3 linked regions of the Rattus norvegicus genome follow. The protein of the gene in region 3 binds, or shares a complex with, the protein of the main gene of each other region. Links are inferred from orthologs where the notes say so. Each region holds a gene or a part of one and is shown on either strand. Other genes may lie near its edges. The genes, in order: Kcnip1, Kcnip2 and Kcnd2.

What was found.
Region 1: the proteins of Kcnd2 (region 3) and Kcnip1 are in contact, whole or in part, in a cryo-EM structure (PDB 7E8E), measured with the Homo sapiens proteins. The link is inferred for Rattus norvegicus from reciprocal best matches to the Homo sapiens genes KCND2 and KCNIP1. Residues at the interface, in NP_036413.1 of Homo sapiens: Ala2, Val5, Ala7, Trp8, Pro10, Phe11, Ala12, Arg13, Ala14, Ala15, Ala16, Ile17, Gly18, Trp19, Met20, Pro21, Val22, Ala23, Ser24, Gly25, Met27, Ala29, Pro30, Gln33, Arg35, Lys36, Arg37, Thr38, Gln39, Asp40; in NP_001030009.1 of Homo sapiens: Thr60, Arg62, Glu63, Val66, Leu67, Arg69, Gly70, Phe71, Asn73, Glu74, Phe85, Ile88, Tyr89, Gln91, Phe92, Tyr101, Leu105, Phe109, Phe122, Leu126, Leu129, Leu130, Lys137, Thr141, Leu144, Tyr145, Val162, Ile165, His185, Phe189.
Region 2: the proteins of Kcnd2 (region 3) and Kcnip2 are in contact, whole or in part, in a cryo-EM structure (PDB 7UKH), measured with the Homo sapiens proteins. The link is inferred for Rattus norvegicus from reciprocal best matches to the Homo sapiens genes KCND2 and KCNIP2. Residues at the interface, in NP_036413.1 of Homo sapiens: Val5, Ala7, Trp8, Leu9, Pro10, Phe11, Ala12, Arg13, Ala14, Ala15, Ile17, Gly18, Trp19, Met20, Pro21, Val22, Ala23, Ser24, Gly25, Pro26, Met27, Pro28, Ala29, Pro30, Trp55, Asp57, Arg61, Arg100; in NP_775283.1 of Homo sapiens: Arg112, Gly113, Phe114, Asn116, Glu117, Cys118, Val123, Phe128, Ile131, Tyr132, Gln134, Phe135, Phe136, Tyr144, Leu148, Phe152, Phe165, Leu169, Ile172, Leu173, Arg180, Trp183, Ala184, Leu187, Tyr188, Met201, Met205, Ile208, Met211, His228.

Annotation. Positions count from the first base shown.
Region 1 is NC_086028.1:18,736,213-18,745,575, reverse strand, and holds part of Kcnip1 (Kv channel-interacting protein 1), read left to right. Parts: intron 1-380; coding exon 381-413; intron 414-5,281; coding exon 5,282-5,406; intron 5,407-6,776; coding exon 6,777-6,846; intron 6,847-8,096; coding exon 8,097-8,167; intron 8,168-8,920; coding exon 8,921-9,028; intron 9,029-9,363. UniProt on the Homo sapiens protein: Regulatory subunit of Kv4/D (Shal)-type voltage-gated rapidly inactivating A-type potassium channels. Regulates channel density, inactivation kinetics and rate of recovery from inactivation in a calcium-dependent and isoform-specific manner.
Region 2 is NC_086019.1:254,587,247-254,596,609, reverse strand, and holds the end of Kcnip2 (Kv channel-interacting protein 2), read left to right. Parts: intron 1-1,743; coding exon 1,744-1,839; intron 1,840-2,771; coding exon 2,772-2,825; intron 2,826-3,404; coding exon 3,405-3,529; intron 3,530-3,814; coding exon 3,815-3,884; intron 3,885-4,025; coding exon 4,026-4,096; intron 4,097-4,212; coding exon 4,213-4,320; intron 4,321-4,511; coding exon 4,512-4,616; intron 4,617-4,739; coding exon 4,740-4,802; coding exon of another isoform or gene 4,803-4,916; exon of another isoform or gene 4,917-5,079; coding exon 5,080-5,127; 3' UTR 5,128-6,438; downstream 6,439-9,363. UniProt on the Homo sapiens protein: Regulatory subunit of Kv4/D (Shal)-type voltage-gated rapidly inactivating A-type potassium channels. Modulates channel density, inactivation kinetics and rate of recovery from inactivation in a calcium-dependent and isoform-specific manner.
Region 3 is NC_086022.1:50,737,805-50,747,881, reverse strand, and holds the start of Kcnd2 (potassium voltage-gated channel subfamily D member 2), read right to left. Parts: upstream 5,398-10,077; 5' UTR 4,845-5,397; coding exon 3,730-4,844; intron 1-3,729. Other genes in the region: uncharacterized protein Kcnd2l1, read right to left, coding at 5,569-6,369, 6,530-6,596, 6,784-6,953. UniProt on the Homo sapiens protein: Voltage-gated potassium channel that mediates transmembrane potassium transport in excitable membranes, primarily in the brain. Mediates the major part of the dendritic A-type current I(SA) in brain neurons.

The sequences.
Region 1 (9,363 bases), on a different chromosome or scaffold from region 3:
TTCTCGTGGTAGAGGGTGTCTTAAAAGCCACTCTGCAATGACACCTGTGGGTATGTCCCAGAAGCCATCCCCATTCGCATCCTCTGCCACGCGCCATCTCATCTCTCTTCAGGCTGCATGACTGCATGGCTCGGAGCATGCTGGATGAGCCCTGCTGGTAGTGTGGGCACTGGGAGGTGACCCAGTGCTTGTGCCTGTTCTGACTGTGGGGAAGGGAATGGGAAAGCCAGGCTCTGTTCTGCTGATGAGAGGCTCCTTGCGTATATGAAGCTGGGTGATGACCGGGACTCCCCCCATGAGTGCCTCTCCAATGACAATAAAAGTGTGTTGTGCTTTTTAAATGAATAGATTTGGTAAACTGTTTTCTTACTTTTTCCTAGACATCGCCTGGTGGTATTACCAGTATCAGAGAGGTAAAAAAAAAAAAAAAAAAAGTCAACACTCTCTTGACTGTCTCGGTCACATGACTTGAAAGGAAGAACTTCTCGATCAAGGATATGTTCTGCAGCTAGCTTTCTCGTTCACTAGACTTTTGTGCCCCTTGTTAGCAAACCCAGTCTGTGTAGAAACCATTAGGGGTTTTCTCTTAGGGGTGGGGTTTAAGGAAAGCTTTGTTCCTCCTAAGAGGACCATATTTTTTCCTTCTGCGCTAATTGAACAACTGTAAGACAAAGCTCAGAGCTTTTACTGACACATAAGCTTAAGTTTAATAACCGTTCAGAACAAATGGCCAGAATGTCTCTGTTCTCCTCCCCTCCCGCAACGTGGTCTGCACTTCCGATCGCATCGGCATTTTCTGAAGCAGTTTTTTTTTCTTTATCTGTTTTTATTCTATTATTCAGTTCCTATGACCCACTTCACGTTCTTTGTGAGATAGAGTGGAGACTTTAGATAGGCAGACTGCAGGAGAATAGGCTGTGTGACTAAGACAGGAGAAAGGCAGGTGGTGGGGAGACGGAGGAGGTGTATGAAGTCCCACCCTCAGCAGCCCCCAAACCAGGAGACAGCTTACATGAGCCCAAAGTGAAGCCGGGCGCGGGGGTGCACACCTTTAATCTCAGCACTAAGGCAGAGGCAGGGGCAGGTGGTTCTCTGTGAGTTCAGAGCCAACCTGGGCTAGAGAGTGAGTTCCAGGACTTCCAGGAATAAATAGAGACACCCTGTCTCAGAGAGAGGGGGAGAGAGAGAGAGAGAAACAGAAACAGACAAAGAGAGACAGAGACAGACAGAGAGATGCAGAGAGACACAGAACTAGGGGAGTGACAAGTGCCCTAATGACTGTAGCTACCCAGAGTGCCCAAGCCCCCACTCAGCTGTAGCAGATGATGCCCTGGTGTGAATTTAAGATTCAAGATTTTCCAAGAGAAATATGAAATACAAACTTGGTTGTAGATTTCTTTTCTATAAACATTGGCAACTATTTTAAAATGAGCCTTTATGTATTTCTTACAAAACCTCTCTTTGAACTACATTCAAGCTAAGGACCACAATTTTGTAACCTCAAAATGGATAAGATGGGTGGGTGGGTGGGTGTGTATAAAGTACAGCCCAGATCCTGCCTCTGCTCAACACATGTGCACACGCGCACACGCGCGCGCGCGCACACACACACACACACACACACACACACACACACACACACACTGGAGAAACTGTATTCTAAGCCAGGGAAGAGATGGTCATAGTTTTGGGTCATGGCCTTTGTCATCAGCCAGAGAAGATACCTCAGTGACATGTACCCCCAGACGCAGGTCCCTACTGCTCACAATCTGTGGACCTGACTTGTCCACAAGCATGGCACTTCTTAGGAACCAAAGTGAGTCAAGGCTGGTCACAAACCACCTTACCGTCTGTGCTCCGGTGAAGTCACCATGGAGATACAGGGCAGCCGAATCTGATAGACCAGTCCTGGATTGGCTGGGGTTAAGGTGCAGCTTTGTCACTGTTGACCTGTGTCACCCAAGCCTCAGACAGGAGTTAGTGGCAGAGTTTGGGGAAGAATGACAATAGAAGGTATTTCAGGGACTCCGTTCAAAAGATATGGAACTCACTGGCACTATAGGGGGCTTGATACGAAATGACGTTTCTAAGAGGGTCTAAAGTTTTCATCCATCCTATACCATGAATAACCTGAAAGCCTAAAATGTTTTATTTTTAATTACTCTGAATCATACCCGGTTTAGTCTAGGACTCTCTGCTGTATCGCCCTGTACAATTTATCATTCCAGCTCACATTCACCTCGGGTGATAGACATTTATTACCCCGCGAGCTCCTTGTAGTTAGAAATTTACCTTTTCCATTAAGGTAATTGACTTCTAAATATCAAGTGACGAGGGTGCCAGACCCCTCACCCCCACCACACAGGTGAACATTACAAAGAGAAAATAATCTCATTGATCTTTATCAAGCAGAACTTCCCATCGCATTAACCTCACGATTGGCTTTGATCCAAACTCGGTCTGACTTAATGATTAGTTCGCCGTTACTTTAGTAATGAAAAGAATAACAGAAAGAAGCGTTTGGCATTGAAGACTCACAAGAACCAAACAGTAAGGAGCTCCCGTGTGTTAGTTCTGATTCTGTGTAACCAGGGAGCTAGGCCAGTGTCCTCCTTCTACCAGCTCTGTCCTGAGATGTCTGGGGAGTCCCCAAGTGGACAGGAGAGATGTGAATGCCACCCTTCCAAAACAGATATATTTACAGTGGCCCAGAACAATGAGGCTACGAGGTGGTAAGAAAGGGAGGCACATCCAGATGTGGGCCAGTCTAGACAGTTGCAAAAGCTGTGAACACGTTAAGTTATTGTTTTCCAATGAAAGGCCAGGGCTCACCAGGGTCACAGCAGCAGAGGTTTGCCTAGGCTGGAGGGCATGTCACGTCCGTCAGAGACAGCATTGCCTCACGAGGTTTTACCTTCCAGAGATCCCACGGAAATGTTGCACGTATTTATGCACACACTGGGTTGTTATGTAAGTTACACGCTTACTTACCGGTTTAGGCCCCTACTATCCATGGGTGGCTACTTCCCTACATCTCAAGCCCCAATCACCTGAGTTTCTCCCGTCGGGGATGTGACCACAGACGGATCATTAGTGAAGGGCAAAGCCTGAAAGCAAAGGCTTGGCCGTCAGTCAAGCCTGTCACTGCTTGATAAGGAGTGACTCCTCTTCTTAACGAAGTGGGTTTAATAGCTGGTGTCTCGGTAATTAGCACCTTTGAAGCAAAGTGATGGGAAGTGAATGCTGGTTCCAAATTGAAAAAAAAAATTCCCTTAAACTTTTGCAAAACAAAACAAAACAAAACAAAACAAAAACAGTCTCCTAGTCTCCTTAGCTTATAAGGAATCAGGCACAGGAGATTAAGAAATAGCACAACACACACACACCACACACACACACACACACACACACACACACACACATAAAAAAAATATCTTTTTTTCTTCTGGGTCAGATAAATATTTGCAGGTAGAGACCTTTGAAAGCAAACCATCTCTTTCCGAAACAAATTTTTCCACTTTCTTATTTATCTCTTAATATTTATATTCTAATTCTTCTTCCTTTACTGGGGCTACCTGGGCACTGCCCAGTAGATCCTGGGGAGCAGGCAATATGTGGTATCTATTATAAGCCTCCACAGCCCCTTTGAAGTTTCTCCAGAACATACACAGCACTTTTTTTTCTTTTGCTAAGACTAACCAGCAACTGATTTCTTAGGATGAGTTTGAGATCTCATGAGATACTCGGAGCTTCCCCTGTTATACCTGTGTGTACTTCCCCCCGCCCCCTTGCTTTTCATTCTGGACACTGGCCCTTTGATTTACACAGAAACCTTCTGCATTAAGGTAATTGGTACTTAACTCATTAGCTACAAACATAAGGAGAAAGAAAGGCTTCGTAAGAGTTCTGAGGAAATTGGCCACTTGCCACAGTGTGACATAAACAGAGTTTCTTATTTATATTGGATCATTATCTATCTCCCTCCCAGAAGAACTAGGTGATGTGCGGGACCCAGCATGTAAGAAAGATAACAATTAGGCTTGGCTGCCGCATTATTGAGGCTTTACTGTAACATCCATTACCACTGGGATTCTGCTCAAGATATAAATTTTGATGGATTTGTTTTGTGTTGGGATTTAAGTGTCACGGTAGCAGAGAAAATCTGGCGCTAAGAGCCCAACCCTGCCTGCAGAACAACTACACTCACTGTACCTGTTCGCCTGGTTCTGCGATGCAGACCCAGGCCGCCTCCTCTGACTTACCATGGTGCAGTGTGGGCCGTATGTTCCCAGCAGCCTGCTCATCCCGCCCTTGTTTTCACGAGGCAGAAGTTGGAATTGTTCAATATATGGATTTGCTGATGCCTGTGTGACAACGGTAGGCAGGGTAGGGTAGATGGCAAACGATCCTTGCCTGGAATAGATTTACAGAAAAGAATTCTGGCAGGGCACAAAGAGAGTGAGTAGTCACTCATCCCTGTCTGAGGCTAAGCTCCTGGAAGCAACCGCCGACGGATGAACTTTGAGTTGCTTCAAAGGAAGATAAGTGGAGTCAGCCGACAGGCACTTTGCAAACGAGGTGTCCCATTGGACACTGTTCCGATGCGTGCAGGAGGTTGAAACCCTACTCTCTTATGGCTGTTTTTATAGAGCCTTGCAAATGTCCTGGAAACCTTTCTTTATGCAAAGATGCTCGCATTGAAGTTGCTTCCCTGGTATGTAAGGAGACCTAGCGGATATTACAGAATAATGCTGTGTGCAAAATACATTCTGATTCTTTAAAGTCACATTCAACACAGCGTACTTTGAACTTCCCACTGAGTCTCCCTAGCACCTCCCTCGCTAGCCCGCACGGTGAAACCTCATCCCTTTTGAAAATAGTTACGATTCCTTCCCCTTTACTGTTCGGAGTCTCATTCTGCTCAGGCACCAGCGTCTCTGCATGGAGAGCAGTGTTATGGAGCTTCAATTTGAATATGCAAAGATTCAAATTGGTTTTGAAAATGTTTTTTGTGTGGCTGTGTTCTGAACACTTCCACCCTCAGCTGCCTATCTGAGATGCTGATGGCCTTTGCCATCTGTCACATTTAGAGTAACATGGTGGGCAGATTTCGACACAGAGTGAGTGGGCAGGGGAGCGGGGTTCAAGGCCCATGACCTCCACCATGACCCCAGTCCAAGCCCAAAGTCCCGGTTCCCAAGATCACACCTCGAACAGCTCATACTGTGACCCAACACAAACCAAGGAGGTCACATTCTGATGCCGTCCCCTCTGCTTCCAGACAAGATCGAGGATGATCTGGAGATGACCATGGTTTGCCATCGGCCTGAGGGACTGGAGCAGCTTGAGGCACAGACGAACTTCACCAAGAGAGAACTGCAAGTCCTTTACCGGGGATTCAAAAACGTAAGACCGCCCCCCAGAGACTCGGAGGCCTGTTGTGTTTCTTGTCACTTGACTAAGCTTTTCCCGTGCCAAGGAGGTCCCCAGAGTGCAGAGATCCAGGAAGGCCACTGCTATGAACCTGCACCTGGTGAGAAAGAAAGCAGGAGGACCAGGCCTCAGACAAGGCAGACAGGAACCTCACCCACTGCAGAGAAGTGCCACAGGGTGGTGTGACCTTGGGGAAGCCTTCACAGCCAAGATGCAACCTTAGCTTGACCGGCACTCTCTACCCTCTGTTTGGTGTCCAAAGAGTGATGGGATTGAGCTGTGCTGACTCATGCTAGAGAGGCCTGCAATGACCGATGTATAAGCCCAAATGCCACTGTGTTCATTTCTCCTTGAAAGTTAGGACAGGTTGGGGATTTAGCTCAGTAGTAGAGCATTTGCCTAGCAAGCGCAAGGCCCTGGGTTCAGTCCCCAGCTCCGAAAAAAAGAAAAAAAAAAAAAAAAGAAAGTTAGGACAGTGGAACCAACACTTCTGTCCTACTGCTGTGACCTTTTCCTATGTGCCACACAGAAAGCCACTTCTTAGCAAAGCAGTGTGTAAGGAAGGAAGTTCAAAATTGACACATACCCGAGGCTACTGCTGTCTTCTGGGATGCTTTGAGAGCTCTCACAGCCCAGCCTGGATAAGGAGTTTGGGTTTAACCCTTACAACATTGAGCACATTCATATTCCCAAATGGCTGGGTGGAGTTAAGCAAGCGAGCTGTTCTGGTCACCTCCCTCCAGGCACAGCCTCCAGCAGGAGCTTGGTCAAGTGTCCTACAGCTCGACTAGTTGGTCATGTGTCTGATTTGCTACTGTTGGGCATTCTTCTTTCTAATGTTGAAGAAGCCATGTTAATAGTGCCCCGCTGAGCTGGAGTGAGGTTCTGGGAGGTTGTTTCCCAGTTGGGCACTTGTCTAAGAGGAGACCAGAAAATAGAAGAAATTCCACTTATTATTTTGGCAGCTACCCTAGTCTCAGTGCTACCTAATATTGAGGGAACTGTTAAACTCATTCCGAGGGTAAGTGTGTTCAAGATCACAGGCCACCTCTGACGAAGCCGAAAACCTTAAAGCAGGCTTAACCAGGATCCAAACTTAGACCTGTCTAGACCTAAACCCAAGACTCTCCCAGCCCAGTCCCTATTCTGTGATCTCCCCTCACTTGCAAAATAGCTTTTCATGATAGTGTTACCTCCAAGACCTCCTGAAGATACCCAGTACACATGTGCTTCCTAGTCTCTGCCCAGGAGAGGGCATGAGGACCCTGCTCAGTCTCCACTCCCTAGTACAGGCTCCCAGACACTTCCCACACACACACTCTCTCTCTCTCCCCCACACACAGGAGTGCCCCAGTGGTGTGGTTAACGAAGAGACATTCAAGCAGATCTACGCTCAGTTTTTCCCTCATGGAGGTGAGTATATGCTTGGAAAAATGCCCTCCCAGCATCCTCTCCAGTGGTCAGCCTTCTCTTTCTCAACCCCTCTGTTCATTATCTTTGGGGTCAAAGGAGAATTCATGGCAAGATTTTTTTTCTTACTACAAAATATAAAACTCTCTGACAAACAAATATGAGCCCACTCAAGGGGAAGAACAGATATCGCAGTAACAGAAAGTCCCATAAACAGCTCTAGAAAGCAGGCATCATGACCCCGGAAGGAACGATTGAGTTTCAGAGACATTAAGCATTTTATTCACGACCACACAGCTCGAAGGTGGCAGCCGAGGAATAGGAAAGTATAAGGGGCAAAAGCTTTGTCATCTTGGTTCCTTGAACAGCTAAGACGGGTTGAAATCTTGTAAAGAACATTAGTAAATACTACAGACCATAAAAATCACTGAGCAAAATAAACTGTGGGCAGCGTGAAGTTGTACTTATTTATAAAGTCAGGTCAGTGAGGCACTGGACTCCCACCGCCTGCTCCACACATCCGTGCATCCTTCCCCCCTGTGGCTTTCTTGTGTCACCTGCTCACAGGAGTCACCTGAAGAGTGCGGAACACCTGTTCCGGGTCCTAACAAAAGAAAGACTTCAAGTGTCCCACATCCTTCTTGGGCCCTATCTATCACGGGCCTTCCCAGCAATGCACAGGTGTCTCCCTGGTGTGGGATTCGGTGCAGGGTTTCTCTCTGTGTCAGGGAGAAGTGGCTTCACGTCATGCTAGTACCTGACTCCCTATGAACGCCCCCCAGAGACAGTTTGCCACTGTGTGGCAGGGAAGGCTCGAGTTTAATGTATTTCTCCCCATGTCTCAAGAGTCAGGTCTTGCTACATCCCACTGTACGAAGATGGGGAATGGACACTCTGAGGTGTTGCATTAAGTCTACAAGCACAGCTATATGGAACCAGCTTTGATACAAGCTCGGGTCTCTCCTCACAAGGAGGTGCCCATGCCATGGCAAGGAACCCTGCTTGGGACACCTCTACTCAGTCACTGCCCAGAGGACCAGGCCACACAGAGGAACAGGCAGGGGAGACAGTAGGGAGAGAGATACGAACCGTCTAACCTTGTGCTAGAACTAATTTCTCGCCTAATCTTCAGGACTGAGCAAATGAGTCTCAGTCCATCATCCTCCCTCTCCTCTCTCTGGCCCCACCCGTGCTGCCTCTGCCCTCTGTGGAGCCTTGACCCCCACTCACCTGCTTCCCCCTCTACTTTGCAGATGCCAGCACATACGCACATTACCTCTTCAATGCCTTCGACACCACCCAGACAGGCTCTGTAAAGTTCGAGGTATAGTATGTGGGTCCAGTCGGGGGTCCCCTGGTTCCACAATGCCTCTCCTTCTGAATATGACAGTGCTGGTGGAACGAGTTAATTATCAAAGTCTTCATTTAAGACAAGAAACTTGATTCATTTAAGGAATAGCACCTGAAGTCAGAGAAGACTCTTGTCGTCTAGACACTGTGCGTTGGGGTGGTAGAGACAGCCTAAGAGATCCCTTGTGCCCTGTAAGCCGAGCGGTAACCTCTGGACCTAGCATTTCTTATTTATTAACCTGTTTAGCTTTTATAATAGTGCTTACAAGGCATGGCCAGATGGTTATTTATTATCAATTAACAGAAGAAGAAAATGAGGCAGAGAGTGAGTAGCATTTCCAAGATCAGAAAGAGAAAGAAAGTGGCCAGGGAGGCCTTGAACACAGGCAGTGTGTTTCCTCAGCCTGTGCTCATAGCTACTGGAATGTACAGTCCCTCAGACGTTAGCAACCATTGCAGCCTTGGATTAGGATCAACGAGGGAGGCTGAGTTCACACATACAGAGCTCAATTCATCCTCAGGGGCCATCAGAGACTGAGACAGTGTAGGTACAGGGAACGGAAGATAGGACTGGGCCTCCCCCAGGCTGGGACTGGACATTTCCATCTGGCTAACGAGAGGGTGTGGGAGGCGCCATTTTGTAAAAGCATCACGGTCCAATCTGGAAGTCAGGCTTCTCTCCACCCACGCAGTGGTTAACGTGAGGCCTGCCTTCTTCACTTCTTAGGACTTTGTGACTGCTCTGTCGATTTTACTGAGAGGAACGGTCCATGAAAAACTGAGGTGGACGTTTAATTTGTACGACATCAATAAAGACGGCTACATAAACAAAGAGGTAAGTGAGCATGAGATGAACACAGTGGAAGCACTGAAATCGAAAGCAACCCCAGACCCCGGAAAACACTGAGTGAAAGCGAGTCCGTCCCTAGCAGAGTGAGGAAGCCCACCGCTGATGTCCCCGCCCAGCCCCGCCCCTGTGCTCAGGAAGCTGTAAACCGCTCCTCACAAGCCCACACAGGTGCGATGGGCTGAGACTGTCTTTTGGGGAACCTGCATCTCCCCCTGAGTAGCAGCCTCCTCACATTAAAGCTCAGTATAAGCCTGGAAGGATGAAAGGAGCCCCCAGAAGAGAGCAGAGAGCTCTTCGAGACAGAGGTGACATGGGCCAAA
Region 2 (9,363 bases), on a different chromosome or scaffold from region 3:
GACAGCTACAGTGTACTTATATATAATAAATGAATAAATCTTAAAAAAAAAAAAAAAAAGGACGAGGGCAGGGCAAGGACAGGCTGGACCAAAGCAAGACTTAAGCCCAGCGAGGCAAACAATAAGTCCTGCCGTGCTGCATTTGGTATTGGGATCTTGGTGGCACCACCTGGGCAAGTCTTGGGTAGTCCCTTCCCACTGTTACTTGTAATCTCTCGTGGACCTTCTCTATTTAATGCCGGCAGCTTTCCTTCACGGTTTCCCATAGCTCTGGCATCTCCAACACCCTGAGGCTCCAATGCAGCTTAGGTATCAGCTTCAGAGGTTCATGTAATGTCTTCTCAAGGGCAAGTACTCTTCCACTGAACTGTGTCATGAGCCCCACTGTCTGCATTTCTGTTGCCATGCTTGTCTGCCACGATCTCACTAAAACGGCCCAGTAAGCCCTAATTAGAGTACCTTAGGCCTTCTCTATCCCATGGCTTCAGACTCTGTTTCTCTCATAAACCGGCCCTAAAGGCCTACAGACCACTCAGGTTTGTGCTAACAACCCCACTCCTGGAACCAGTTCTCTGTAATAGTTACTTCCTACTGTGATGAATGACCAGCAGACAGTTGTAGGTGTCGTCCATTGTGTTAGGAAGGTGCAGTAGTGAAGGTTACAGTAAGCTGTCCCAGTCAGGAAACATACATCATTACTGGCACTCAGCCCACCTTCTCTTTTGTACCCTTTTTATTCAGTCTGGACCCCAGCCCATGGGATGATGCCACTCACATTCAGGGTGGGCCTTTCCTCTTCAACCAAATGTCCAGAGGTGTGTCTTCTAGGAAATTTGTTGTTGTTGTTGTTGTTTGCTTTTTCAAGACAGGGTTTCTCTGTGTAGCCCTGGCTGTCCTGAAACTCACTCTGTAGACCAGGCTGACCTTGAACTCACAGAGATCTGCCTGCCTCTGCCTCTGCCTCCTGAGTGCAGGGATTAAAGGCATGCACCACCACTTCCCAGCTTTCTGGATGATTCTAAATCCAGTCAAGTTAATAATAGATATTAACCTTCACAGAGATCTAGGTCAGAATGTAATGATCATAATAACTTTGGTTATTATTGTCTTGAGATCATTATAGTGTTATGATGCCTGAGGGTCCTTGTATATTTTATGTGGTTTGATCATACTGTGCATGAGATGGTCTATAAGGCTCTCCATATGTGTGATCATATTTTACTTTGGTCATATTTGTGTATATTAGAGTTTTGGGTAAAACTTTGTGTTTGGAACATGCTTATACCATCAAGTGTTACTGTCTTCTCTATGTCACTTGCCATTCTCACTTGTTACTATGCAACATGCTTGTGGGTACGTGCATGTGTGTGCATGAGAGAGACAGAGACAGTGAGAGAGAGAGAGAGAGAGAGAGAGAGAGAGAGTGAGTCCTATTCCGACAATTCCTTAGACATTACCCTAAGTGGGGTTAGCAGTTAGCAGACTCTGAGGCTGCCTCACTCTTACCTGCTTTTCTCCTTATACAACATGACCAAGCCTGGCCCGAGGTTGACTTTCCATGCCTATGAGACCCAAGAGGCATCCTGGCCCCAGCTATCCTGCCCATCTACACAGCCCCCATTCATTTCCTGTCCCCACCCCAGCCAGTGTTGATTTGTGATTGGTGGGGGAGCAGATAGGCAAACAGAGAACTGAGGGGCTGTGGGAGTTAATGTACCTTCCCGGGGTCTTCTCTCTTCCCAGGCCACCCTCCAGGGCCCAGTAAAAAAGCCCTGAAGCAGCGTTTCCTCAAGCTGCTGCCGTGCTGCGGGCCCCAAGCCCTGCCCTCAGTCAGTGAAAGCAAGTGCCTCTCCTATGCTTCTGGGGGTGGGGCGTGCGTGCGTGCGTGCGTGCGTGCGTGCGTGCGTGCGTGCGAGCGAGCGAGCGAGCGAGCGATATGTGACGGGAATTGGGAATTGGTTGGGTCTGAATGTTAAGGGTGTAGCTACAAACTGGAATGTAACAGGCAAATCATGAGTGCTTGTGAGTGAGCATCCCTAAATCTGCAGAATGGTGAACCATGGCTAGTGCGTTAAGGCCTCAACTCCGAGCCCTTGTAAGTATAGCCAAGACCGTGATGGGTTGGCTCAGCTGGTGAGGTTGGTCTGCAACTCTGTGGCCTCCCTACTGTTTTAGACCTTGGAATGTATGTCACCTGTGCCTTAACAGGTGACAGGTGTAGAGGATGGAGCCCACTTTCCCAGATGTCAGGATACCGAGGTTTTTCTGTCCTAGCCCGATCTTGAACTGAGTGGTCCCCAATTAAGTAGGGACCTCCTCTGTTCTATAGGTTCCGTTTCTTCAGCTGAGCCTTGCCCACCTTATAAAAACGCACTGAGGGGCTGGGGATTTAGCTCAGTGGTAGAGCGCTTACCTAGGAAGCACAAGGCCCTGAGTTCGGTCCCCAGCTCCGGAAAAAAAAAAAAAAAAAAAAACGCACTGAATTTTATAAGCCATAAAGGCCCAGTAGCTAATTGAGCACTTAAAGTTGCTTCACTCGGATGGTGTCACCGAGTGGAAAAACCTTGGAAAAAGAAGGGGACTGTTTATGGGGAGCCCATACCATCATGAATGTCTGTGTGCACTGCGATGTGCCTTTGTTGTGGGTCTGGGGTTCGTTTGTTGAAACACTCAAGTCTGTGAGATTTCCTGTGAGTGTGGGGCCTGGGGAGTGTCTGCAGTTGGCCTTATCTTCTGCTGCCGCCTTCTCGGTGACAATTCGCTCCCTTCAGCATTAGCTGCCCCAGCCTCCCTCCGCCCCCACAGACCCCGCCCGCTGGACCCAGGTGACTTACTCTCCTGGTTGGGGCGGGATTGGGAGGGGAGGGTACTTGCCTGGAGGGATGGATGTTGGGAGCTAGGGTGGGACTGAGGGTGGTTGGAATTGGGATTTGGGGTCTGAATGATGATTGGCTGGAGCTGGGCGGGGCATGGCTCGGGCATGGCTGAGATGGACGGGGTTCGATTGGGATCGGGCTGGGTTGTGGGCCCTCCAGAACTAGGGTTGGGCAGCTCTAAGTTGGTTCAAGAGAGGTTCCGACCTTCTGGCGTCTGGGGCCCCATTCTATCCCCCTACTGAGAAGCTATAACACTGGACTGTCCCCTACCAAGGGCCAGGAGCCAGTGCTGAATCTGGGGCCAGGCATAGCCTTAGCCCCAACTGACCTTAAAGCTGGCCAGTGTCTTTTTTTTCCTTCGATGTTCTCAGCTCTGAGTCTGGCAAACTGTTCTCTCGGGTGTGGAAGAGGGGACAGGGAGAAGGGGGTGGGGGTGGGGGTGATGATGGATTAGTTACTTTGAAGATTACCCACGTGATCTCAGGGGCTTGACCTGAGGCAAAGCTATCCCCCTCCCACTCCCCACAGACAGCGTAGAGGATGAGTTTGAATTATCCACGGTGTGTCACCGACCTGAGGGCCTGGAACAACTCCAGGAACAGACCAAGTTCACACGCAGAGAGCTGCAGGTCCTGTACCGAGGCTTCAAGAACGTGAGTGGAGGGTGTCACCAACTGGGTAAGGGCTGAATCGGAGAGGCAGAGGCGTAGCTGACCCAACCTATATCCTGAGGTTCAGGGCCCTGGGGTTGGTAAGCTGGGCTTGTGATGGTTTAATTCATGTCTGTTTGTACACGGGGAAGAAGTTGCTTGCTAGTCCTTACCAGAACTCTGTGGTAAGTTCCACAGAGGCAGGATAATCTTCCCTCCTTCTGGGAGTCTCTCTCAGGGTGATGAGTAGGAAGGGAGTGTCTACTCAGTCTGGTTGTCTCTGCCCAGGAATGCCCCAGTGGGATTGTCAACGAGGAGAACTTCAAGCAGATTTATTCTCAGTTCTTTCCCCAAGGAGGTGAGGAGTCAGACACCCAAGGCTGAGGTGGGAAGAGGGTTCTGGAGGCCTGGGGGTGCTGAGAAACTGGGGGTTGAGAAAGCTAAGGGGACGTGAGTACCCCTGCCTGAAGACCACGTTCGTGTCCCACCTCATCCACAGACTCCAGCAACTATGCTACTTTTCTCTTCAATGCCTTTGACACCAACCACGATGGCTCTGTCAGTTTTGAGGTGAGAGCTAAGAGAGATGGGTCAAGCAAGCCTGTTTCCCTGGGCTTCTGGGGGCCAAGATTTGCACGCCAAACCCAAAGAGTGGGTTGGCAGAGTTCCCTCCACCTCCTTTCCAGGACTTTGTGGCTGGTTTGTCGGTGATTCTTCGGGGGACCATAGATGATAGACTGAGCTGGGCTTTCAACTTATATGACCTCAACAAGGACGGCTGTATCACAAAGGAGGTGCAGGGCCACCGCAGGGCAAGAAGGGTGGGGGGTGGGGTGCTGGTAATGTAGAGTCGGATCTGGTATGGAACCATGTGTGTCGTATGTGTCAGCGGTAAGCGGTGAGCGAGTCGAGTCGGTCCTTGGCCCTAGGCTGTAAATCTGGAGGCTAGAGGCTCTTAGGTGAAATCTCTCGTTTGGCTTAACAGGAAATGCTTGACATTATGAAGTCCATCTATGACATGATGGGCAAGTACACATACCCTGCCCTCCGGGAGGAGGCCCCAAGAGAACACGTGGAGAGCTTCTTCCAGGTGCGTCTGGGTAGGCTGGTGGCCCAGGGGTGGAGGGAAGGACACCAGGGCCCAAGAAGGCACTAACCTAAGTATCTCTCTCCCATTGTCCCCTCACGCCCCTGCCTGTCCACCTTCTTACAGAAGATGGACAGGAACAAGGACGGCGTGGTGACCATCGAGGAATTCATCGAGTCTTGTCAACAGGTATGGTTCCACTCTCTACACATCTGTCCCTGTTCTGAACCTAAATCCGTGAAACGGGAGAAGGCTCCTCTCAACTTCACTCACTCCCCACCTCCCAATCCTATTCTTTTATGACCAGGGCAGATTTACCCTTTTACCACCTCAGATCCCCCTAGATAAGCTTCTTCCTAACTCCTGAATGCCCCCATCTTTGAATGTCTTCCTCTGTGTCTCTGACAAGCTTTTTTATTTTTTTTTCTCTCTCTCTCTACCTGCCTCCCTCATGTCATGACCACAGGACGAGAACATCATGAGGTCCATGCAGCTCTTTGATAATGTCATCTAGCTCCCCAGGGAGAGGGGTTAGTGTGTCCTAGGGTGACCAGGCTGTAGTCCTAGTCCAGACGAACCTAACCCTCTCTCTCCAGGCCTGTCCTCATCTTACCTGTACCCTGGGGGCTGTAGGGATTCAATATCCTGGGGCTTCAGTAGTCCAGATCCCTGAGCTAAGTCACAAAAGTAGGCAAGAGTAGGCAAGCTAAATCTGGGGGCTTCCCAACCCCCGACAGCTCTCACCCCTTCTCAACTGATACCTAGTGCTGAGGACACCCCTGGTGTAGGGACCAAGTGGTTCTCCACTTTCTAGTCCCACTCTAGAAACCACATTAGACAGAAGGTCTCCTGCTATGGTGCTTTCCCCATCCCTAATCTCTTAGATTTTCCTCAAGACTCCCTTCTCAGAGAACACGCTCTGTCCATGTCCCCAGCTGGCTTCTCAGCCTAGCCTTTGAGGGCCCTGTGGGGAGGCGGGGACAAGAAAGCAGAAAAGTCTTGGCCCCGAGCCAGTGGTTAGGTCCTAGGAATTGGCTGGAGTGGAGGCCAGAAAGCCTGGGCAGATGATGAGAGCCCAGCTGGGCTGTCACTGCAGGTTCCAGGGCCTACAGCCCTGGGTCAGCAGAGTATGAGTTCCCAGACTTTCCAGAAGGTCCTTAGCAATGTCCCAGAAATTCACCATACACTTCTCAGTGTCTTAGGAGGGCCCGGGATCCAGATGTCTGGTTCATCCCTGAATCCTCTCCCTCCTTCTTGCTCGTATGGTGGGAGTGGTGGCCAGGGGAAGATGAGTGGTGTCCCGGATGATGCCTGTCAAGGTCCCACCTCCCCTCCGGCTGTTCTCATGACAGCTGTTTGGTTCTCCATGACCCCTATCTAGATGTAGAGGCATGGAGTGAGTCAGGGATTTCCCGAACTTGAGTTTTACCACTCCTCCTAGTGGCTGCCTTAGGGGAATGGGAAGAACCCAGTGTGGGGGCACCCATTAGAATCTTTGCCCGGTTCCTCACAATGCCCTAGGGTCCCCTAGGGTACCCGCTCCCTCTGTTTAGTCTACCCAGAGATGCTCCTGAGCTCACCTAGAGGGTAGGGACGGTAGGCTCCAGGTCCAACCTCTCCAGGTCAGCACCCTGCCATGCTGCTGCTCCTCATTAACAAACCTGCTTGTCTCCTCCTGCGCCCCTTCTCAGTCAGCCAGGGTCTGAGGGGAAGGGCCTCCCGTTTCCCCATCCGTCAGACATGGTTGACTGCTTTGCATTTTGGGCTCTTCTATCTATTTTGTAAAATAAGACATCAGATCCAATAAAACACACGGCTATGCACAGCCTGCTGGCTCTGCCTCTTTATCCCCCACCGCCGCCATGCAATTGCCATGGAATCCAACGACAGACCTGCAGCCCTTTAAATGCTCAAGGAAGTGCTTGTCTTTCCAAGGATGGCTATGACTTGGCACATGACCAAGACTCAGGTTAGAAATCCACCTGACCTTAGCCCCTCCACGAATCTCCTCGCATGACTTGAGAAGACACAGGAAAAGGTGGGATGGCATGTAAGGACTGTATGCACGGAGCAGGCTGTCTCCCCCCACCCACCTCATTTTGACATAAACGTTATTTTATTCCATTTCAGGAAAGTGAAAAACTTGCCATCCCATTTCACCGTAAATCCTGAGCACTGAAGCAAATACACACATGAATATCTGTGCATGTTACATAACGCGTATATGCATTTACATATTTTCAGATTTTAGCTTCACTGGTGTCTGACCCTTTGTTCTGTGTTCTCTCTCGATCTCCTTTTGAGGAAATGTTTCCTAACCAAGGAGGACCTTCAATATTTTTTTTCTGAGAATTTGTTGTTGTTAGCATACAAAGTCATAGGGTTTCCTGTGGTATTTTCTTTCTTCCTTGTGTGTGCCTGTTTGTATGTGTTTTCTGTGTGGGTCGTAGGTGCCTATGGAGGCCAGAGGTCAATGTTGGAGTGTCTTCTTCCAGCCTATTTTTTTGAGGCAGGATCTCTCACTGAAAGTTCAGCTCACCCATTAAGTTAGACTGGCTCCCAGGAATCCACCTGTCTACACCTGCTCAGTGCTGGGATTACGACATTTGGTCTCTAACCCAGCTTTTGGGTGCTGGAGGTCAACTTCAGGAGGTCCCCGACAAGTACTTTACCAACTGAGCCATCCTCTCCCACAAGCATACGTCACTGTGGCCTCTCATACACACCCGCTCAACTACCTTCCCTCGCCTACCTTGCTGGTCTTCCCTTTCTATCCCAGTGATCTCCCTTTTGTTTTGGGGTGCGTGTGCATGTGTGTGTGCGTTTGTGCGAAACTCTAGATTCTGCATATAAGAGGAAATGTACGCTATTTTTTTCATTCTCCCTTTCTTTACATCCAAATGACATACTTTCTCTTCCTCCTTTCTTGGGGCATTGGTTTTTGAGGCAGGGTGTCATGTGGTCAGGCTGGCCTCAAACTCATGCTGTAGCTGGGCATGGGCTTGAACTTTTTTTTTTTTAAAAAAAGATTTATTATTTATGTAGACACCAATGTTGGGGTAGAAGTCTCGGCCCGCATCCAGACAGAACACACCAAACCAACACGGTTCTCCACGTGGAGAGGTTTAATGAGAGAAGAGTAGAAGGGGGGATAAGTAAAGGCCAGCCATGAGCACGTGGTGGGAAGTGGGGGATGGGGAGAGAAGGGACCAAGGGGAGAGGGCAAGAAAGCAGAGAAGAGAGAGGAAGAGCAAGAGAGAGCAAGAGAGAATCAGGAGGGGGCAAGCAGCCCCTTATATAGTGTCAGGCACAGCTAGCTGTTGCCAGGGCAGAACAAACCTGGCTATTGGGATGGAACTTAGACAGAATACCAATATATATGAATACACTGTCGCTGTCTTCAGACATACCAGAAGAGGGCATCAGATCCCATTACAGATGGTTGTGAGCCACCATGTGGTTGCTGGGAATTGAACTCAGGATGTCTGGAAGAGCAGTCAGTGCTCTTAACCACCGAGCCATTTCTCCAGCCCTGTTTCAATGTTTTATAGCACCCTGCACCGCCGTCATAAGGAACTAGCTGCTGTGGATGGGCTACACACACACACACACACACACACACACACACACACACACACACACACACACACGAAAAGGCTGTCAATCCCACTGGAAAGACAGTAGGGTTAGGGCGCGGTATATGTGGAGGAGCTTTTCAGATTCCTTTTCTGTGGCCACACGTATGCTTACAGAAACACATATCCTCTCACTCCATGAGTGCCTATCCATACCCTTCATCAGCTCAATCCGAGTTTTCACAGAGGCAAGCTATCCTTTTTGGTAACCACCTCCCTTTTTTTTCTTTAATGTTTGAGACGGGAACTCACATAGCCAGGCTCCATCTCCCTTTGTAACCGAGGGTGACCTTGAACTCCTGACCCTCCTACCTGTGCCTTACAAATGCTGGAATTACAGGTTTGTTCCACCAGGCCCAGCTTTGGCAAACATTATTAAATTCTGAATCAAGAGTGTCAGACTCACAGAACGCTGAGAACGCTGCCTCTTGAGAAGTCCTTCCTCCCTCCCTCCCCGCCTTTAGTGCAGCATGGTTGGGCATTATTAAAAAGAGCTGGCTCAGCAGGTGGAGATATTTGCCATCAAGCCTGATGACTTGAGTTCTAGCCCTGGGATCCACATGGTGGAAGGAGAGTCTTCCCTCCAAGCCCGATGACCTGACTTCTATCCCTTTGGCCCTCTGATCTCCACATGTGCCCCATGTCACCAATTCACAAGTCGAGTTCGATTAAAAAGACTTTCTCCCACCTGATGCAAACGGGTGCTGCCATTATGTAAGTGATCATGCGGTCACTGACTCAGTGCAGGCCACCTGAGGCAAGGACAGATTTCCTGAGTGCTTGTCCACTGGGAGTGGTGAATGGCAGGTTCCTCCCATCCTTTTTCTGGAACTCCATTATGTGCTGACTCATCCAGAGGAGGAAGTCAGGCCCTCTCCCTTCCTAAACACACTGACAAGGTCAATGAAGAGGTTGGTTTCGAGGAGGCAAAGCTCCCTTGTAGGAGTACAATAAACAGCACTTTGAAGGCCTGGCTTCAATCCCCAACAGCACAGAAAGTGTCTAACCTCCAGAGTGCGTCTGTTGTCTGTTTCCTGCATATCTCGTCTGAGAACTCTGTTCTTCTGTTTCGAATGGAAGATCTGATCAAAACTGTGGGCCCACTATCCACAGTG
Region 3 (10,077 bases):
GAATTCCAGATCATTCAGATATCGACAGTGAGAATCTATCTATCTATCTATCTATCTATCTATCTATCAATAAATGAATAAATAAATATCTTCAATCTTCTTTTTAATGCATATTTCTAAGAGTATCATACTTGGTTGATATGATCATATAGGTATGATCAACTCCTAAATTATTTCTAAGAAAAAAATGGCTTATGAGAAAAATTTTCAATAAAGTTACATTGTTTTCTACCTGATTGTTTCCTTTCCGTGGAGCACATCAACATTTTAGTTCTTTCAAGTTTGCTCGGAAATCAGAATAATATTCACAGCATTTGATTTTTATGCCCAATGTTTACAGAAATACCACACAGGCGTTTTTATTCCCATATAAAAACCTTTGATGAAAACAACTCAGTTTTGTGATTAAAGAAGTGGAATGGGCTGCAGAAACGGAACGGTATCTCTTAACTCCTTCAGCTTCACGTTATGAGCAAATATGGTTGGGAGACGTGGCTGAGAACACACATTTTGCCTACCATGATGTTACATCCCCAAGGATTTACTGTGCCACCTGGGATCTCTTCCATGGGAAAGTCATGACCATGAAGAAGAGTGCAAACCGAGGCTCATCTCCATGTTCGCGAATCAACTTCTGGTTGTCATTAGCCGATACTTAGAGATGTGCCAATCTTAGTATTATGCAAGAGAAGAATACATCCAGTGGATATGCTGTCCCAAACCCTAGCCAAAGAGGGACTGTGGGTTCTTTTTAGGCTAAGGCAATTCAAACCAATAGACTTTACACTTTGGATCAGGGATTACAAGGATAGGACAGAGAGGTGGCCTCCTGGTCCCATGTCAGTAAATAAATAAGCTTGAAAAGGAAGGGCAAGATGAAAGAACTGATGCCCATGTCACCCAGTCTAAGCACTTAACAAGTTTTTCTCTTATGTCCTTTTATTGATATTTTTCAATGTTTTCTACGTTTACTGATACAAGATGAGTAGCCTTCAAACTGTGTTCATTTTCCGGTCAGATTAGATACTTACCCAGCAAGCATAGTCATGTTATAGTCTATGACAAAGCTAATGTTTGAAAACATTATATAAATACAGTAGTCCCAAGAGACACACACTGAGTTCTTCAAAGCCAAAACCAACTGGAGATCCTCAAAAAGTATTAGCTGAGTCTTTTCAGACCTGAATCAGAAGGTGCTTGGTTACTTTTCCTCTCATGAAAACAGTGTTCATATCAGGTGGTACTTCCGATAACATCGTGTGGGATGTCAATTTCACGTCTGATATCATCAATTAATAAATATTAATTTCATTAAAAATAATAGCCACATAAAGAGAACATAGAAAGTCTGGTGTCAAACTCTTGGACATCCATCAGTCACAATTTGACAACTGCTAAACTACTGCATATTTTCCAGAAAGTTTATACTTCCCATTCTAAAGTTGCAGCATAAAAGATAAAGTCATAGACCGATGTGTTACATCCCTTCCACTCTTAAATAGCACAGAGCCACAAGGCTACTAACAGTAAAACACCAAAAGACAAGGCATTTAAGATTCGTTTTGTGCAGGCAATTAAAATACTATAAACACGTTTAGAAAAGGAACTGCAGATATTCCTGTTAACAGAGAGTAGTGTATTATATAAAACACAGGCTTTCCTCAATGTTCACATATATTTTTATTGCTTTAAAAGCCTGGGTGTTGTTTTTTTTTTTAATGAGTCATTGATTATCTTCTTAAAAAAACTTTCAATTTCATTCAAACTGGAAGTCTTAAAAGTCAACCCCCTTATTGCTTCCAAGTTCTAGAAGATTTGTGTATTTAACTGTTTGTATTTGCTCTCCTATAGGACAAATGGAACTGATTGCCCAGATGCTGCTCAAGTATTTCAACGCAGTTTCTTAAATCATCCACAAGAGAATGCTTGTGAGCAGTAATAGTAACACAGCCCCATTTTTCCAGAAAGTAGCAGACATTTCAAGATAGAGAAAGAATTGGAAGCTGTCTCCAGAAAGGAATGTTGACATTAACTTCTCACGTCCAGAATTTCAGCTCCTTAAAAAATTAGAAACTTGTCCCTATTCCTTGTAATGATGCCTACGTTCGAGCATCCAGACAGCATGCAATTCTAAATGACTCACTGAGACCTCAGGAAAAACCTGCACGCCACCACGTTTTGTAAAGTGTATTGTCTCTCAGTAGCTTCTCCTTTGTTTTCTTCTTAACATAGAGCTTCTTTAGTAGAGCTCGAATGGGAAATGACAGCAATCCTAGCTACCTGACTGTCCTTTCATGATTCACACAACACAGAGACAGAACAAAAAAAAAGGCATAACTCTTTTGAGTAAGGGTAAGCACCTGTAATAATCTGCCACATCCTCTCTTATCTGTCACAAAACAGCCAACAGGATAAAGGGGAAGGAAAGCAGAAGGATTTGAGTTCCCTTCATTCACCTTTTAAAAGCTATAATTATATCCTCAAGGATATGGCAGACTTAATCAAAATCCAAAGCACTATATTTTACTTCAGCCAGTCTTCTTCATTAACTCAGCCAGAAATTTCCCCTCATAAAAACATATTCCACTAGTTGGCCATATAACACGAGAAATTCTGTTCAGCACAATATGGCCAATAAAATTAAGTTGACTTTAACCACGATGTCATTTAAAGAAGCCAATTAAGTGAGTCAGAAACACAAAACCAAGAATACAGCCTTGGGAATAACTTTTTTTTCCTAGAGTCCTTATCAAATCCTTCTTACCCTGATTATGTAGGCAAGAAAGGTAGCCACAAAGCCAAAGAAGGAACACTGATACCTCTCCAAGGATCACCTACGAACTCTGCAAAGTAGCCTCTCTTTCTGGTTTATTTTGTTAGCTTTCCTACCCCGACAAGTGCTGCTACTTTTCTGCAGTTTGAGTAACATTCTTAATCACTCCACACCATTCTTTATAACATCTAGAGAAGTCTGAATTCTTTCCCTAGAAGTCCATTTCTGAAAACACAAATTCAGAAAACCTTCCTTTGGTTTGTAAAACTTCATGCCCTCAAATAAAAGAATGAAGGAAAGAACTCCAGGAGAAATTTTGAACCCCAAATTGCACACTGCAACTGATCCATGGTAACCAATGGTCTCACAGACGCTGCTCTGCCGTCCATGTGTAGTGGATGGAGCATCTGTAGACTCTCTGACTGATGGGAACCATAGCTTCTGAAAACTGTAGGGATGACTGACAGGCATATGCTTCTTTCTTTACAAAAGGAGGCAAACCTAGACTTCCAAACATTATATTTTGTATAGTTGACCTGTTTCTGATCTGATATTCTAATTATAACACATTACTCATAACGAAAATGAACATAATAGCATACTGATATAAAAGTTTTGAAAATCGTATCTATAATTTTTAAAATGATGTAAAGTTAGACAGGAGTCTTAGGTTGAAAAACATGCCATCCACATAATTAGTCAAATAATTCTATATTTGTCACTATATAGAATCAGTAATTAATATTTGCCTGCAACTCCCTGGTAATTTCAATCTTTTTTTGTCATACCCATTTCACAGATCAAAATATTTGTTTCTAAACTTTTGAATAAGTGCTTTCATAAATCCATTAAGAGAAAAAAATGTAGTCACGCTAAAGCATCAGGAAGCCGGAAGAGATTCATAATCAACCCACCCCATGTCCAATCCCCATCTCATTTCCTACAAAGGCACCTACCCCAGTGTTGTCATGGTGACGATGGTGTACCAGAAGGCTGCAGGGATGCTGGTGAACTTGCTTGCTGAAGAGCCCTTCTCTGCGTAGAACATAACCGTAGCGAAAATGATGATAGCCATTGTGAGGGAAAAGAGCAAGAAGCCCAGTTCTGACGCACAGCTCTTCAGTGTGTACCCCAGTATACGCAGGCCTTGAGAGTGGCGGGAAAACTTAAAGATCCTGAAGACTCGAAAGACTCGGAGTGTGACAAAGGCGCCACTGACATCCTCATTGTCTGTCATCACCAGCCCAATGTAATAGGGTAGGATGGCCACCACATCGATGATACTCATGACACTGCGCACAAAACGGTAACGACTAGGCGCTGCGGCCAGGCGTAGCAAGTACTCAACCGTAAAGATCATGACACAGGCGGTATCCAAGCAGAAGAAGGCCACTGCATACCTTTCCCCACAAGGCAGTTCTTTTATGTGGCCTGGGCTAGACCCACATGGAACTGTTTCCACCACATTCGCGATGACTGAGACGGCAATGAAGAACCCGGTCACATAGTAGAACACCAGGGCCATGGTGCTGGTGTGGGGGTTCTCAAAGGCCCTCCAGACCCTCTGCCTAGCAGTCATGGTGGGCAGAGCACTCTCTCCTGTATTGTCAGTGTCTGCATCATCCTGGAGGCGCTCTGCATTCTCCCGCCTGCGGTCCTTGTACTCCTCATAACAGCAGTCGCCAATAATTTCTGGGATGAGGCCAAAGAAGGCCAATTCTTCATCATAAGCCGAGATGCACTCATGGCGGGGATAGTGAAGCTTCCCCGTGCGGTAGAAGTTGAGGATGTGGCGGAAGATGTCTGGGTCACGGTCAAAGAAATATTGTTGGGTCTCTGGGTGGTAGAAAAAGTCTCTCTCGGAACTGCCCAGCAGAGTGTCTGGGTATCGTTCCAGGGTGTCTTGCCATGTCTGGAAACGGGTGCCACTCACGTTCAGCACAATTAGAGCGTCCTGAGTCCTTTTTCTCTCCTGCCTTGGGGGAGCTGGCATAGGCCCGGAGGCAACAGGCATCCACCCAATGGCGGCTGCCCTGGCAAAGGGTAGCCATGCTGCAACACCGGCTGCCATGTTGTCTGAAGTAGAGGTCACAAGAGTGATCAGGGGTCACCCAAAGTAACACAATGAAAGTAACAAAATGCCCCACTTCTTCACCTCAGACAAAACACTGGGGAACACGGCTCACAGGAACACGGTTATTCCAAGGTGGCGCAGGTGAAGTCACAGTACCCAAAAAGCCAGATTTCTCTCACAGACAAGTATTTGGAATACTAAGAGAGAAAAAAAAAATACAGTGACCTAAAAATCTCTCTCCATAGAGCCTAAACAAAGCTCTGCCAACAGTTGGACCAGGGCACCTCCTGGCACATCTAAACGCACAGGTGACTTTAGAGACAGCCTTGCTTCAAACAGGTGTCTTCACTTCTCCCCTGATACAGTCTGGTTGATACAGGGTCGGTATATAGAGCAGGTGAGAGGAAACAGGGAAAGTCAACCAGTGGTAGTCTCTTAAAAGAAAGAACCTTTTCACCTTCCCCTTCTGCTGAAGTGGTCCTTCCCGCCAAAGGCGTCTCAAAAAGACGACCTGTTGTTGTAGCTCCAGAAATGCGGTCACAGCCGCTGTCCCGCGTCCCTTGGAGTCCGCTGGCCTCCTCTACTCAACGCTGCGCTTGCAGAGATGGAGGTGAAGTGCAGGGCTCGCGGCGGGGGGCGTCGGTCTAGAGTTCTCTGTCCCCTCACGTCGACTGACACCCTCTGTGCCAGCCGAAAGAGAGCGTTCGCCTGATGGGCCCCTTCACTCTCTGTTCAAGTTCAGCTCAGGTGCAGTGTGACAGTTATAGAGCTCGGGAGCTGGCAGCCGCCGCCGCCGTGGCGGCAGCAGCATCTGCCTCCGCGCAGAACGCGCCTCGCCCGCCGTACATACCTGGCAAAGTACGCGCCGGGGCTGAGTTGCATAGAGACTTTGCTGTCGCCTTGCACCCGGAAAGGGAAAGGCAGAGCCAGCGGCTCCCGAGCAGCCAGATCCCAGGCTCCCGGGGAGCATAAATAAAGCTCTGGCGAGCTCTCTGTCCCCTTCCCCCACCCTCTGTGCCTCCCTCCTCCTTGTCACCTTCCCAAAAGCCAGGCGCAGGCGAGCAGAGCCAACAGCAACAAGTTCAAAAAGGTGCGGGGGAGGCGAGCCGCCCAGGCCACTCGCTCCTGCCAACTTACTGCGCGGCCGGCGTCCCCGGGGTCGGGGCGCTGCGGGGCTGCGGGGCTCCGGGACTGCGGGGTTCCGGGGCTGCGGGGCAGGCGGTGGCAGCGTGGGGCCGGGACCGAGGCAGGAGTGGGCTGGCGTCCGGGCGCGGAGGCAGGAGGCGCTCGGCGGCGCGGGGGCGCGAGAGGGCTGCTCGCTGCTTCCCCGCCAGTGGGTGGTCCCGCATCTCCCCCGAGCGAGCTCCGCGCGCTGCTCTGCCCGTGCGATCGATAAATAAGCAGGGAGAGAGCGAGAGCCGCACGAACGCCCCGCCACGCAGGTTAGGCAAAGGCGTCTCCTGCCTTTCCCTCGCCTTGACCTTTCTCCGCCCCCGCCCCCTCGGGCTCCTCTCGCTCCACCCTAGCCACCCACCAGCCTCGACGCCAAATGTCACCAAGGGAGAGCATCCAGGTGGTTCTATCCCGGGGATGAGGGAGCCTCGGATGAACAAAGGGAAGCTTCAAGGCGCTTGGCCGCGGCTGTTTGATGGAAGAGAGGAGGAAGGGGACCGGTGGCTTACTGCTGCCTCCGGAGCCCCGGTTCCAGATGAGCGTGGGAAAGGGGGGCCGAAAAAAAATCGAGAAAAGCTGCAAAGGGGGGGGGGGTGAACAGAGCGGAACGCGAAGGAATTGGTTGCCTTTGGGGGGCGACTGGGTCGCAAAACCTGCAAAGCTCCGCGGCAGAATTTTTAAGTGATTCCCCCCTCGTTCTTTAATTTTTTGTAATTATTTTTGTTCAAAACAGATGTTAACGATACTAAGGTTAATATATTACCCGTCCAACTTGCTGGAAAAGTCACACAAGTCTCCTCTGGCTAGGTCTTGCCACAACTCCTTTCCCCCTGTCCTTTGCAAATGACAGGAGAATTTAGACCCTTTTCTAAATGTCAGTGTGCAGGGGAGTGAGGCTCTGAGAGTGTGTGTCTCTTCGTGCCCTTTGCGCATCCCTGCGCATATCTAAAATGACCAAAGGAAGAAAACGTGTCCCGGTGAGGGGTGAGTGATGGGAAAAGAGACAGGAAAATTGTAGTGGCCAACCGATTTTGGTCTTCGTGTACCCCGCCCCCAGTCATTAGGTGTCTTCCTTAAAAATCAAGCTTTTAACAGCAGTGGCCACTAGATGGCATGAGTGGCGAGAAGTTAAATTTACATCTAAGGTTGCTGTTTTAGAAAGGCAAAGGATCAGAAAAATTTACAGATTCGATGGAGAATCAGATCACATAAAAATCCTTACATTTCCCGAGACCACCCACCTTTTCAGTGTTTATATGACGCGCATTGTTCAGGCTTCAGATGCATTTTGATGGACTTGGAATATGATGGTCAGTGTTTCTTGTTGAAATGTCTTTGAAAAATTACATTTCAAATACCAAGTCATGATCAGAAAAACCATTAAGATCATGGGAAAAGTGAAGTTCATTGGAAAGAGCAGCCTGACCTCTACATGAAAATTATTTTTCAAGGCTTCTTTTGCTGTCTTTTGTATGGGAAGAATGTGGGTTGTGATTTGCTGTGTAGAAACCAATAAGAGAGAGACCATAAGCATGATGTGCCTACTTTAAATGGGCGTTCAAAGAGAATCTATGAACTTAAAGTATAGAAAATCGTCAAAGAAGGAGAATAAGCATCCGCTGTAATACACGGGAGTAGCCGTCAAGTTGGATGTTTGTTTGCTGTGCTTGCTTACTTGTGCGGGGTTAGGGATTCCAGTGAGGGTAGGTAGCAAAGTTGAAGCTAATGCACCATGGCAGTGTGGGACACCTGCTGTTTGTTTGTTTGTATCACCCAAGCGAAGGATGCTTGCGAAGTCTGCAAAGCTGAGAACTAGCCAATAGAAAGGAGGCGATGCCTTCCAATCATTATAAAAAAACAAGGTACAAATTTAACCAAAAAAAAAAAAAATGATGGCATCGTGGCAAGATGAAGTCATGACATCGGGATAAGAAAGGGGCGTAGGTATTAAAAGCCCATAGTATCGTGCTTCCGTGTAAGAATGGAATAGACCTGCGAAACAGACCTTTCCACATCCCCCACTGGGAGATCAAATACTTGAACACAAAAGAAACATGTAACTTCATGAGAAGACGCCTTAGATAATATGACGTCTACCATTTCGGAAGGCAGTAAAACAATAAAACATGTTAGGCTTGTTGTAAAAATTAAAGATCATATTTCCCAAGGTCCAGTGTGTTTTGCTAAGAACATGGAAACCAGCTATTTTATTGTTTTAACGCGCATGCAATTCATCTTATGCAGCCTGTGCATGGGATTTCCACAAAGACATCATACTTACTTTTATCTCTGAATAAAGCATTTCTCCCTCTCCCAACAGGCAAATGCCTGACATCTTAATGTTCGGCTGTTCCTTAAAACATCTAGAGATTACATATTGAAAAGCCAACAGAGGCCTTGGGTTTCCTCTCCTTGTCCTAAATCCCGGTTGATCCCTCCCATCCTGTATCCTACGCCATATTGATTAAATGGGCAGCAAACAAAAACTCAATACAGTAAAAGTGAATTCATTACTACCTTCTAATCATATCGGCTTCTCCTTCCTCTCCTGAAGTGAAGGCCAGGGAAGACCCCTGATGGTACTCACTCCTTCATTACTTCCCCTAGCAGACACACAGTGACCCAGTGAGTCTCAGTGTCCCGTGCTCACTCCCAATTCATCCCTACATAGCATTTAGAGAGGTTTTGCTGTTGTTGTTGAGAACAATCTTAAGGCCTATGAAGAATAGGTATAGCAATAGGTATGGGGTCCTACTTTCCCTGCCTAGTTCCCCTAAAGGTATCCCCTCACATCCTATTAAATCACAGCCAGAGGGCGATATTAATATCCCCTGAGTCCCATTTGAACAAACTGGGAAGATTATGAAAATAGATCTCTTTTCTCACGCTTCTGGAAGGTGGAAATCTAAGGTCAAGTAGCCAAGAGTATCGGAAGGTCCAGTGTATTGAGATTTAGTGAGCCTTTGCTTTCTGTAATCAGGAAGAAACACCGAACTTTGTCTCCTGTAGTAGAAGGAAATGACAGACCCTCTCGGGCTTAATCCCAACGGGGGAATGTCTGACCTAATCGTTACTTTTCATTGTGCAATGGTCTCCTACAGCCTCCGCATATTACTGCTGCCTCACTGGGGGAGTTCATTTCAACATATGAATCCGGGGGACACACACTTTCTAAGCACAGAAGATGGAATCGACGACTCCATTTTAAAATCTATCAACTTTACAAACACTGACGTTCGTGCTTATCCTTTAGTTCTAGGTTTCGTTACTGTTAATTGTCTGCCATCGTAATAGACACGAAGCACATGACAATAAGAAGGGTTCCCTTTTATAAACATAAAACAGCACCCCACCCTGTGACTCTTATCATCCGTCCACTAGTCCGTTCTCTACCACTTATCTTTGAGAATACTACCTAAAATAACTTCTTGAGATCGCCTAACATGAGAATACTTAATAAGACTGACAAAGGAACCTGATCCAGCCCATTGTGAAGGTGCGGGAGTGCCTCCCACAGAGGCTGAGGACACACGTGGCTAAGCTTCCTGAGCATCGGTTGTACCAGCACTGAATCATAAAGAGTTCAGCCTGGTTCTTCCAGACCTTTGTGATTTTGCACTCCTCCACTTCAGTAGAGTCCCTGTTTCTCCAGCATCCTCCTCTCATCCTCACTTTAAAGATGTTTTTCCCTGCATAAGCAAATTGAATTGTAATTCAGTTATCGCTGGATTTTCCCCTAACTGCAGCAGGATATTAATGATTTGGGTCTGATCACCCCACATTCACTACTGTCTACAATGATTAATCATTCGTACCCCCATTGCAGTTTAGTTTTTAATTTCGTAATGATCTTATTGAAGATATTTTGTGTTTATTTCTCATCTGCACATATTCTGCAACACATATTCAATTTGAACTTTGTTGGTCCTACGTGTTTATTTAGAAGAGTATACAGATTCTAGACGGTGTTCCTGAATCAGACACATCATTTTCAGATAGTTTTCTTCCGTGTAGCTTGTTTTGAATCATTCTCTTGCGTCTATAATAATGCAAAAGT